Linked DNA regions of Mus musculus. The protein of the gene in region 2 purifies or fractionates together with the protein of the main gene of each other region. This does not show direct contact. Links are inferred from orthologs where the notes say so. Each region holds a gene or a part of one and is shown on either strand. Other genes may lie near its edges.

The links.
Region 1: the proteins of Map1s (region 2) and Rassf1 purify together in Homo sapiens (affinity purification with mass spectrometry; 4 studies listed by BioGRID and IntAct, counting the BioPlex papers as one, with this or other methods). This does not show direct contact. The link is inferred for Mus musculus from reciprocal best matches to the Homo sapiens genes MAP1S and RASSF1.
Region 3: the proteins of Map1s (region 2) and Stk3 purify together in Homo sapiens (affinity purification with mass spectrometry; 3 studies listed by BioGRID and IntAct, with this or other methods). This does not show direct contact. The link is inferred for Mus musculus from reciprocal best matches to the Homo sapiens genes MAP1S and STK3.

The regions. Positions count from the first base shown.
Region 1 is NC_000075.6:107,554,456-107,558,101, reverse strand, and holds part of Rassf1 (ras association domain-containing protein 1), read right to left. Parts: intron 3,520-3,646; exon of another isoform or gene 3,324-3,519; coding exon of another isoform or gene 3,177-3,323; intron 650-3,176; coding exon 545-649; intron 333-544; coding exon 35-332; intron 1-34. UniProt on the Homo sapiens protein: Potential tumor suppressor. Required for death receptor-dependent apoptosis. Mediates activation of STK3/MST2 and STK4/MST1 during Fas-induced apoptosis by preventing their dephosphorylation.
Region 2 is NC_000074.6:70,908,919-70,912,564, forward strand, and holds part of Map1s (microtubule-associated protein 1S), read left to right. Parts: intron 1-2,026; coding exon 2,027-2,131; intron 2,132-2,451; exon of another isoform or gene 2,452-2,608; intron 2,609-2,927; coding exon 2,928-3,010; exon of another isoform or gene 3,011-3,282; coding exon of another isoform or gene 3,283-3,348; intron 3,349-3,594; coding exon 3,595-3,646. UniProt on the Homo sapiens protein: Microtubule-associated protein that mediates aggregation of mitochondria resulting in cell death and genomic destruction (MAGD). Plays a role in anchoring the microtubule organizing center to the centrosomes. Binds to DNA. Plays a role in apoptosis.
Region 3 is NC_000081.6:35,152,949-35,157,199, forward strand, and holds the start of Stk3 (serine/threonine-protein kinase 3), read right to left. Parts: upstream 2,859-4,251; 5' UTR 2,605-2,858; coding exon 2,579-2,604; intron 1-2,578. UniProt on the Homo sapiens protein: Stress-activated, pro-apoptotic kinase which, following caspase-cleavage, enters the nucleus and induces chromatin condensation followed by internucleosomal DNA fragmentation.

The DNA.
Region 1 (3,646 bases), on a different chromosome or scaffold from region 2:
CCTTACACAGGGAGTGCTGAGACTGGAAACCTACCTTGGCCATGCCGTTCAGTTCGCTCAAAGAGTGCAAACTTGCGAGGATCATCTACGACCATGAATTTTCGAAGCAGGGCCTCAATGACCTCACGTGCCCGTGTTCGTGATAGAACATGCAGATGCTTAATAGCATCCTTAGGCAAGTAAAAAGAGGTGCGGCGCTTCACGGCTGTGCTCCGCCCCGTACCTCTCCGGGCGTCCTGTAAGGAAGGTGGTTTCTTGCTGGAAGGCACTGAAACAGGACGCACTAGTTTCAGCTGAACCTTGATGAAGCCTGTGTAGGAGCCATCCTTATTCTGAAAAGAAAGAAAGGAAAAGGAGAACCATGCCATGTCAGGAAGTTCTACTGGAGATGGAAGAGTTAGGTTGAGTCGTCCAGGGGCAGGGTAAAGCCAGGTCTGCACAGATAGCTGCTTGGGTACACCCCAGAATACTTTGCTCTGACTCTCTGGACATCTGGCCCAGAGCTGGGCTTCTGTTCTCCCACATTCCTGAACAGCCAACTCACCAGGCTCATGAAGAGGTTGCTGTTGATCTGGCCATTGTAGTCCTTGATTTTCTGCTCAGTCTCAGCTTGAGAAAGATCGGGTGTCTCCCGCTCTACAGCCTCATCCTGAAAGACAGGCCAGCATAGATACAGGGCCCTTGAAAAGGCCAAGGCTCTTTGGTGGGTGGGGTGGGGATGGGGATGGTCCTTCTGGCTTGGAACTTGATTTTGGTCCTGTCACCAAACCCATACATCCTGAAGCCATCATTGCTCCTGGTTTTACATGCTATAGATGGAGAGAGCAAGGACAGGTAGAATCCGTTTGGCTTTCTGCTATCTGGGGCCACCTCAGCACTGGTTGTGGCCCCTAACGACATCACAGAAACAGATAAATGAAGGCACATGTCCAGGGGCCAGGAAACCATGAAGGACTGTAAGGGAAAAATCTTGTTTAAAGTATAAACACTTTGGGGGATAAAATGTAGCTCAGTGATAGAGTAATTTCCCAGAATGTACAAGGCCCTTTGATTTCCACCCCCACCACATACAAAAATTAAAACCACAACACAATCACATCTCCACTGTAGAGCTGAACCCAGAACACTAGTTTGGTCAGTTTGTTCTGGAGAAGAAAGCCCACTCTCCCACAGTGCAGCAGCACAGAACATGACCCGAGAGAGGGTAGGCAGCACGGGAGCTGGTGCACCAGCAGTCTAACTACAGTAGACAGGAGAGGAAAGCTGATCTCTGTAATGTAAGATGCCTTAGTGGGTTTCTTGGGACCAGCCACACCACATCTTATATAGTGAAGTAACACTGGGACATACCATTTACCCCCCGACTCAAGCTACATAGAAGGCAGCTTCAATCCAGGTTCTCATCTGCCAGAGGTGTACAGGCAATTTCCCAGCAGAGCCTGTCCTACCAGCAGCAAGCAGGGAGGCTGCTGTTCTTCCCCCTCGCTGTCTGAAGACTTAGCCCAGAGACAAGGTTCTTCAGGAACTGCGGGAGGGTGGAGTCACCCTGCTGCTCAGGGCAGCCAGGACTCACTTGACCTAACTGCCTGAGTCTTACTTCCTGGTTTGGTTTTGTTTTTTAAGATTTATTTACTTATTTTATATATGTGTGAATACACTGTAGCTGTTTTCTGATGCATCAGAAGAGGGCATCAGATCCTATTACAGATGGTTGTGAGCCACCATGTGGTTCCTGGGAATTGAACTCAGGACCTCTGGAAGAGCAGTCAGTCCTCAACTCCCAGTGTGAGTCTTACTTCCTGTTGGTTTCAGAAAGGCCCTAAATTGGAATGCAATTGGAACAAACACAGCTGGGATCACCGCTAGGCAGTGCCTGGTCCCAGGAGAATTCTAGGAGGGTCTGGGTTGGGGATTGAACCTGCAGCCCAGCCCCAGCCCTCAGGCTTTTACTCTGCTCTTTGGGACTTCTTAGCTTCCTTTTCTTCTTTCTTATTTTTTGGTTCCTTAATGGTTGGAAGTCAGGCCATCCATCACACATATAATGCTAAGCACTCTACAGCTAAGTCAGCTATAAACTTCAGCTGCTTTTAAACAATTCTTCTCTTTGTATGCCTTTCAACTGGCCAGTATCTTATATTTTCCCCCACCTCTCCATAATAGAAGATGACTCAGGTTGAGTGGTATGGAGACAATCCCAGAGACACCCTCCCGCCCCCACTCCCACCCCACATTGAGTCTAAAGTCTGGACTAAGGTTTTGGAGGTGTCAAGTAGCAGTCCACCTGTAGGAAATTTATATCAAATCTCACCTACAGCATCACAGACAATTCCACTTTCTTGGCTCAAATAAGGAGTTCTAGTTCAGTGCTACTAAGTTTTCTAACCTCAGTCTCCGTCCTCACTTTCCTGATTCGCTGGCCTCTGTGCTGTTCCGAGGGATTCCCGCTCCAGAACAAGTTATCCGAGCTTGGTGGCCACAACTATGATATTCCCAGAAAGTCGGATAATTTGGGCACATCTAGACTTTTTAAAGAGGTTCAGCTGCCCTGGTACCACACTTTTTTTTTTTTAATAGTCTTTTAAGGCCCTCTTCCTGAATTCCCCAAATCCCTCTGCACAGTTCCACCATGGAGGAAAGAAAGATCGAGTCCAGCAGCTGGTGTCAAAGAGTTGGTCGAGCAACGGCTGGGCACTTTGCTGGCTGATCCAAGACCGCATCACGGCACGGCCAGAGTCCCCTCCCAAACTAACTTCTCACTTCCCGGTGGACTCCTCCTCCACTTCCTCATTTCCCCCAGGGAGGGAGTGGGAGCGCCCAAATGCGAAATCAAGACGCCGGTTTGGATTGCGAGTCTGGCTTTAGTCATGGGTGAAAAACGCCCGCCTGTGGTCCACCCTTCAAGCTTCAGAGTTGCTTCCCCCTGGCTCAACCGGTCTGTGACTGCAAGGGCAGGGTAGCCTGGGTCCTCAGTACCATCGCGCTGGAACTGGGCTTCTACTCGGGACAGAGAACCCTACGTACGCTTCCTCGCTTTTGTCAGGACCCTCCGAGTGGCTCGCTATGGAGAGGCGGGGAGGCTGCCCATCACCTAACTTTCCAGGCCGCAACTTACCGGGGAGGGGCGGGGTTCCAGCGACCGCCCCTCACCCGCCGGCGGCACCCCCCGGGCTCCCCACCTGGTCCCGACGCGGCCTGCGGACCAGCGAGGTACGCGCCGTGAAGTACTGCTCGAGCTCCGAGTCCGAGTCCTCCTGGCTGCAGTAGCCACTGCTGGTTGTGCTGCTCCAGGTCATTTCGAAGGAAGGTGTTTCAGCCTCGCCCATCGCCTTACCCGCCCGATCCCTAGTCCACTGCGTGGAGAGCCTCTAACCACCGCCTCGGGCGCGTGCGTGCGTGCGTGCGTGTGAGTGTGTCAGGTCGCGCTTGCGCGGAGGCCAGCGCCGCGCGGCAACCGTTAGGACTGAAACGTAGACAGCCCGACTTTAGCTCTGGTGTCGAGGGGGGTGAGGGGGTGAAGACGTCGAGGGGCGGGGCCACGACGCTACAGCTCGACGGATGACCTCATCGCAGAGGCATCTCCACTCGGCTCCGCCTCTCAGGTCCCGCCTCCCAGCGGGCCGGGGCGTGTGCGCATGTGCACCGCCGC
Region 2 (3,646 bases):
TTGTGAATTGAATTTTAGGACCTCTCACTCCAGTCAACTCTGTACCCTCAGTCCCTGCTCGCTCTGGCCCAAAGATTTATTTATTATTACATGTAAGTACATTGTAGCTGTCTTCAGACACACCAGAAGAGGGTGTCAGATCTCATTACAGGTGGTTGTGAGCCACCATGTGGTTGCTGGGATTTGAACTCAGGACATTCGCAAGAGCAATCAGTTTTCTTACTCGCTGATCCATTTCGCCAGCCTCCTCCCCCCCCTTTTTCTTTATTTTATTTTATTTTTTTTTGAGACGGTTTCTTTGTGTAGCCTTGGCCGTCCTCTGTCCTGGAACTCACTCTGTAGATCAGTCTGGTCTTGAACTTATAAATCCATCTGCCTCTGCCTTCCAAGTGCTGGGATTAAAGGCGTGCGCCACCACCGCCCATCGAGGAACTGTATTAAAGGCTCACAGCAAGCATTAGGAAGGTTGATAACCACTGGCTTAGAGTGATGCCTGACTTAGAGTCTGAAGGAGGGGGACGCAGTTAGAGACTCTGCACACTGGTGAAAGGTACATGGGGTCCTTCTCAGGTGGGAGTAGCCTAAGAGAGCCAGGTGTGCGATCTCAGCACTTTGGGAAGTTTGAGGCAAGAGGTCTGTTGTGCAAACCAGTTTGTGTTAGTGTGAGACTGATACCCCAAATTCAGTGACTAAGATGGCTGTGACTCTCATGAAAGCTCAACTTGGCAGTGTGTGCCTGTAATCCCACAGGAGATGTGGAGACAGGGTAACCCTGGGCGCTCACTGGGAGCCAGCCCACCCAGTTGATGACCTGAAGATTTACTAAGGAACTCTGTCCCTGAATGTAAGATCCAAAACAGTTGAGGAGGGCATTGAGTGTTGACCTTTGGCCTCCATGTGGTACACACACACAGTTCAATACATGTGCGTGCTCACACATAGAGATGCTGTTTGGAGCCTCTGGCAGGCCCCTGTAGGTGAATCACAGAAAAGACCTTTGGGATTTTGGAGCAAAGCTCTACAGACAACTATTCTCCCTTTGAAAAACAGCTCTTGGCCGGCTATTGGGCCTTAGTGGAAACTGAACGTTTGACAATAGGACACCAAGTTACTATGCGACCTGAACTACCCATCATGAGCTGGGTACTATCAGACCCTGCAAGTCATAAAGTGGGACGCGCGCAGCAGCAGTCTATTATCAAATGGAAGTGGTATATACGTGATCGGGCCAGAGCAGGTCCTGAAGGCACAAGCAAGTTACATGAAGAAGTTGCTCAAATGCCTATGGTTTCTACTCCTGTTACAATGCCATCTGCTGCCAAGCATACGCCTATAGCCTCATGGGGTGTTCCCTATGATCAACTGACCGAAGAGGAGAAGACTAGAGCCTGGTTTACTGATGGCTCTGCACGTTATGCAGGCACCACCCAGAAGTGGACAGCTGCAGCATTACAACCCCTTTCTGAGACAACCTTGAAAGACACAGGTGAAGGGAAATCTTCACAGTGGGCAGAACTTCGGGCAGTACACATGGTATTACAGTTTGTTTGTAAGAAGAAGTGGCCAGATGTACGATTATTCACTGACTCATGGGCTGTAGCCAATGGATTGGCTGGATGGTCAGGGACTTGGAAAGATCACAATTGGAAAATTGGTGAGAAAGACATCTGGGGAAGAAGTATGTGGATAGATCTCTCCAAATGGGCAAAGGATGTGAAGATATTTGTGTCCCATGTAAATGCTCACCAAAAGGTGACTTCAGCAGAGGAGGAGTACATAGGTGTGCACATGCATACATGTGCATACAGAAAAATCTCCCAAAAGTTGAGGATTCTAATAGAGCAGAGATGTGAAGCGGATGGCCAGACAGGGACTGGTCATCTTGTTGGTCAGGCCTCAAGTCAGAGATGCTGAGGCTTCCCTGAGCCCCTTGACTGTGCCTTCCCAGGAGCTAAGCCACGGGAGCCAAGCAGACAGAAGGGAGGGAGGGCGCTGGCACTCAGCTTTTGTCTCCTGCTGCCTGCAGGTGTTCGCTCCTGGGAGGATGTGGACCCCGCTGTCTGCAGCCTGGATGAGCAGCTCAAGGCCTTCGTGTCCCGGCATTCAGCCACCTTCTCCAGCATTGTGAAAGGTGACCTGCCCCACTCTGCCTCCCTTAGTTCTCCTGCTCCTCTCTGGGTGCTGAGCTGCTGAGTGGCAGCTGTATGCCGGGCGTGGGGTGAGGCAGTGCTAAGGCCTGCACAGAGGTACCTCTGGCCTGTGGATGCTGCCTTGGTTTTGGACAGTAGAAGAAAGTCATATGCTCTGTCCCTAACTTACAGAAGGGTGTAGTGACTTTAGGGAGGGGCCCTCAGGGCTGAGAACCAATAGGGAAGCAGAGATGGGGTGCAGGGCGATTTCCTTGGGATCCTGGGGTGGCCAGAGCAGCCCTTTCATGGGTATTGCTTGTAGCTCGTCCCTGCCCAGTGGGTTGAGTCACCACCTACAGCTGCAGGAGGGGAAGGAAGTGTCCCTTTGGGTCGTAGTGGCTTCCTGACCCCTGATCCATTGGAGAAAAAGCTGGAAGTGACCTACTGTGTGACCACAGCCCTCTGGACGCCCCTTCTGGGTAGTCACATTTCTCTGGCCTGGTCTTGCAGGGGAGGGCTGAAGCTGCTGTCTGCCATGTAGAGCCTCCTGTGTGTCCTCCTGGCTTAGGTGCTGAGCTGTGCTGGTGCTGATACGCAGTCTAGCACCCCTGGCTGATCATCTGTGTTGTCCCTGCTTGAGGCCCAGGGCACCCATGGGCTTCTTCCATTTTCTTTCCTGTTTGCTCTCAGCTGGGGCACCCTGCTGTGGGTTCTGCAGCTTCAGTACCTGAGGGTCCCCTGGTGGTAGGATTTGGGATTAGGCAGCCTGAGCCGGGGCCTGGGCTTGTCATCCCACAGGGCAGCGGAGCCTGCACCACCGTGGAGAGACCTTGGAGACGCTGGTCCTGCTGAACCCCTCAGACAAGTCCCTGTGTGATGAGGTAGGAGCAGGGCCCTGTGCTGTCCTCACTCCTGACCCAGCATATGTGCTTGACACTTCTGCACCTACTTCCTCTTGTAGACTTGGGGCAGGAAGGCTGGTCATGGAATGCACTGATGAGCTGGAGGCAGGTGGGAGGAACCCATGGAACCCAATGTCCTGGCTTAGCCTCTACCTGGCCCAGGCAGGAGCTGCCCTGGGTGGTAGGAGTCTTGCTTTTGGCCAGCCTGCACCTTCCTCCCAGTCTAAGACAGCTCTGGGACTCTCTGATGCATGTCACAAATTGATCTGGGAATGTTGTCACAGGCCTGTTGTCCCAGCAGGAGGAGGCAGAAGCAGGTAGGTGAGGGCTAGCCTGTGCCTAAAGAAAGATGGAGAAAGGGCTAGGTGGGTCTTCACAGGAGTCTCACGGTGAAGGAGCCCTGCTTGGCAGGCAGATGCCAGCTGGCCTCAGGGAAGGGGAGGGCTGTGGTAGGCACACCTGCTGGTTCTGCTTTCCTTCAGCCTCTCAGTTGCCTCTGACAATGAGTTCAAAGCTGGGGCCTGGTCCAGTGCCACTCACGGGGCTGCCCACCTTACCCACAGCTCCGGAACCTCCTGATGGACCCCGCCCCTCACAAGCTGCTGGTCCTGGCCG
Region 3 (4,251 bases), on a different chromosome or scaffold from region 2:
GATTAGAAATGGTGAGCAGAGGGATCCAGAAGGTGTAGAAACAATGACCACTATGTGATAGAATTATAAACGGCACCACTCTACATAATAAAGGAATATACCACTTTTGCAGCCCATCACATCTGGTGCTCTGAGTTCACTTATAAATAAAATACAAGCTACCACGCTGAACTGAACATGCTGTGAAGCACTTCACATGAGCCCATTTCATTCCCATGATACAGTTTACAGGTGAAGACATTTACATTTAGAACTAGCATAGGAAGTGGTAGGGCCAGGATTATTATTTCCAAAAGTGAATACCCAAAGCAGGGTATGTAGCAATCTTATCACATAAAAATGTTTCAGATAGACCATGCAGATGAGGGTTCATGAGCCTTCTAAACAGCAGAACAAAATACCTAATGAGGCTCTGAGAACAAAAGCCCAACATTAAGTCACAATGAGTAAACTTCCTAGCAAACAATAAGATTTCAAAAATGGTAGTTATGCTTCATGATAGACAACAAAGGTCAAAGAGGCTACACAGAAACTCACTGTCAGTAACACACAAGCTTCAATTTGGTGAATTCCTAGTCTCTTCATCTATAAAATGAGATTTTATAATCTTTTTCTAATGCAACCTACTGCATAGAGTTGTTGTGAGGATAAACACTATTAATTTGGAAATGCTATAAAATAAAACACTGAGATACTAAGATATAAAAGATTAGCAGTCTGTATCTTTTGCTTATTGCAAATGTCTTCTTGTTGGGACACCAAGATAACGCACTAGATAAAGACACCGGCCACCAAGCCAGATCACCTGAGTTTAAGCCCCAGAACTCAGTGAAAGGAGAGAAACAACTCCTGTAAGCTGTGCTGACTTACACACACGTCATGGCCTGGGTTTACAGAAACACACACACATGAGGTGGAGGGCAGGGATACCAAATCAACAAAATGGAATTTTAAAAACAATCCCTTCCTGCACAGGAACTATATCCTAGTCCCAACTATTCCTGAGTCAAAGGCAGAAGGAGCTCTTAAACCCAGGCACTCAAGCCACACTGCACAACATATGAGGGGAAAAACAAAAGAACTAAAAGAATTGCATTTCTAGATTAAAATGAGTCTTTGAAGAAATGGAAATTTAAAATGTAAAGTTTTATGTGCAAGCATGGCTTTGTAAAGTATAAGTCACGATGGAATTGTCACCCACAACTTCTGATTGTCCAGGTTCACTAATGTCAAGTGCAGGCATTTTCTTACAGCTATAATGAAACTGATAATTTACAGTACAGCCAACCAGCACAGATCTTTTATTTCAATTCAGTCATTCCAGCTGGCCTATGCCATAGTCTCAAAGATCTCCCCTTTACTGCCCTTCCAAAACAGAAAGAAAAAAAAGTTTCAGGTTTTCTTCTGTTATTGTGGGGAAGGCGAGTATCCAGGGACTACCAGAGGAAAGACACCAATAACATGCTAGAATCTAACAACTGACTTGCTTCCAGGGCCCAGAAGGATAGCCTGTCCCTTCTGGGAAACTGTCCACATCCTCCCCTTTTTTGCATCTGAACAGATGGTTTCCAGAAACCAAGGCTCACATGTCTAATCACACAATTCACAACGGTTCTCAAAGTGCCTACCTTTTTAACGATTCCACCTCATGAGTCTAACACCTTACATCTAAATATCTCTAGATATTAGAGCACATGAAGACTTTAATCTTCACTATAGCACTCTCTTAGACAGTTTTGTAAATTATAAATGAAAGTGAGGTTAAATGTTTTACCCAGCGTCAAACAATTATTTTATTCATTCATGGAGAACAGGGAGAAGACATTATGAACGTTTATCAATGGACATTTAGTTTCCTAAGATGATTGAAATGATTAGTTCAAACATATTGTACACAGATGCATCCAATATGTCCATGATTAAACATAAACAATATATAGCATACCAAAGTATCACTGTTTTTATGTGCAAAACTATATGGGGGAGAGGTTCTAAGTTAACATTCCATCTATCTTGGATCCATAAATTCTTTAGAACTTTGGGGGGAGGGGGGAAACACCTGTCATTGCTGCACATCCATAATGTTTTACATTCTGCGTGGCTATTAATATACTTAATTCCTTAAACTGTAAATAAGCGATCTGTCTTCACAAAGTGAATGGTTATATTATTAAGAAGACTTGATCGAGAGAGAGAGAGAGAGAGAGAGAGAGAGAGAGAGTGTGAGAGAGAGAGAGAGAGAGAGAGAGAGAGAGAATAAGAGAAGCGTGCATTGATGTCCTTATCTCCAGGTTTCTGGAATTTACTACTCAAACCCTCCTAGCCACCAGAAGGGCCGGGAACCCAGCGAGGGCCACTCAATTTGCGGCGCACCAGGCCCTCAAGACGTCGGCACGGAGACTCGGCGTCCCCTCTGGGTCCCTGGCCTCGCAGAGGGACGGAGCCGAACGGTGGGCGCCTGGACCAGGCTGCGCTCAGCGCCGAGCAGGCGGGGACAGGGTCGCGGCGGCAGGCCGGGCCTAGTAGCCCCCGCCCCGCGCCGCTGCTTCCGTCCTCATCCCGCTCCCGCCGTCGTTACCTCTTGGACGCCGGCGGCTGCTCCATGGCGGCCGGTGGCAGAAAGAAGGGCCGAATGGACCGTGAAGGCCGTAGGGAGGAAAGGAGCCCGGGAGCAGCCGGCCGAACGCAAGGGATCACACCGGGAAACTCGAACCAACTTTCACGTAACTCCGCGGCGGATCTCCCTCCCGCTCCTCAACGCGGTTCCTCCCGGCCGCCCCGCCCCGCCCCTCGGCCGTGGCCTGCAGCTCCGAGCTGGTGGGAAGAGGCCGGCGCAGCGAGGGTGGGCGGGACGGAGCGCGGACAGGGAGGGTGGGCGGAGCGTGTCCCGGGAAAGTGGGCGGAACCTAGCGCGGTCCAGAAGAGTGGGCGGGCCCTAGCTCAGCCAGGGATAGTGAACAGGATGCGCCCTGGAAGGCGGGCGGGCCTTAGCAGGGCTAGGGAGGGTGGGCGGAGCGCAGCCCGGGAAGGGTGGGCGGGTCCAAGCGCTGGTGAGAGTAGTGGAGAAAGGCCACCAAAAGGAGTGCCCAGCTCAGAAAGAAGATGTCTTGCTACCAGAGTGAGACTTTGGCAACCCAAAAGCTACTGTGCTGGTGGAGGGGTGCTAGTCCACTAGAGATTTGACTCATTTCTCAGGATTCCCCAAGAATACATGCCAATCATCTTGTAAATCTGTTTGAAGTAAAACTGCCCTCACTTCCCTCTCTTGTCCTGTTTATAATTATTAGTTATTATTAGCTACGTTCCCCTGCCCCCCAAGCCAATTGGCATTTGTAACTATAGTAGTTGGGATACTTCTGGAAATTCTGGTTGATTTTGATTGTATACAAGCATAATAATTACAGTCCAATGACAGAAAATATTTACTGCAGTGATCTCTTGGTGCACAAATTTAGAACACCAGAGTCTTGCTGGATGCCCTGTTGGGTAACATGGAAAGCCCATGACTAGTTATAGTGCTTGGAAAAAGATACTAAAGGAATATCTTTCTTTTTTTCTTGGGTCCCCGACCCCGACAGCCCTAACCCCCATTGAACTTGACCCCTTACACATTCATTTGTCTACTATTTAACCATAAAATACACACACACATCTTCTCACAACTATACAAATGAGTTTGCTTATTTTTTTTTCTAGAATATTCTTTAAAACGAATTGGGCAAAGTTTTCTTAGAGGTTGGAGCCATGTGTATGAAGTCAATATTAGTCAAAATGAGTATCAACTGAAACTAAATAAGACACACACCTTGATATCTATTTCATCTACTCAGGACAATAGGAACAATAACAAAAACTAAGTGATTAAAATGTCAATACTGGGCCATGAGGGGGTTCTGTAAGCAAAGGCACTTGCCACACAATCCTGATGAGTCTACAAGTGTAAAGAGAGAACAGACTTTACAAAGTTGTCCTTGGCTTACACACACACACACCCTTGCCACATCTCTCTCACACATGCACACACTTCCACACCCTCATCATGCACACACACAGTAATGCCAGCCTTTATATATATGAGTATGCTGTAATTTTCCTCAGACATACCAGAAGACGGCATCAGATCCCACTACAAATGGTTGTGAGCCGCATGTGGTTGCTGGGAATTGAACTCACATCCTCTGGAACAGAAGTCAGTGCTCTTAACCATTGAACCCCAGTACCAGCTTTTAAAATGTCAGTACTGGGAATCAC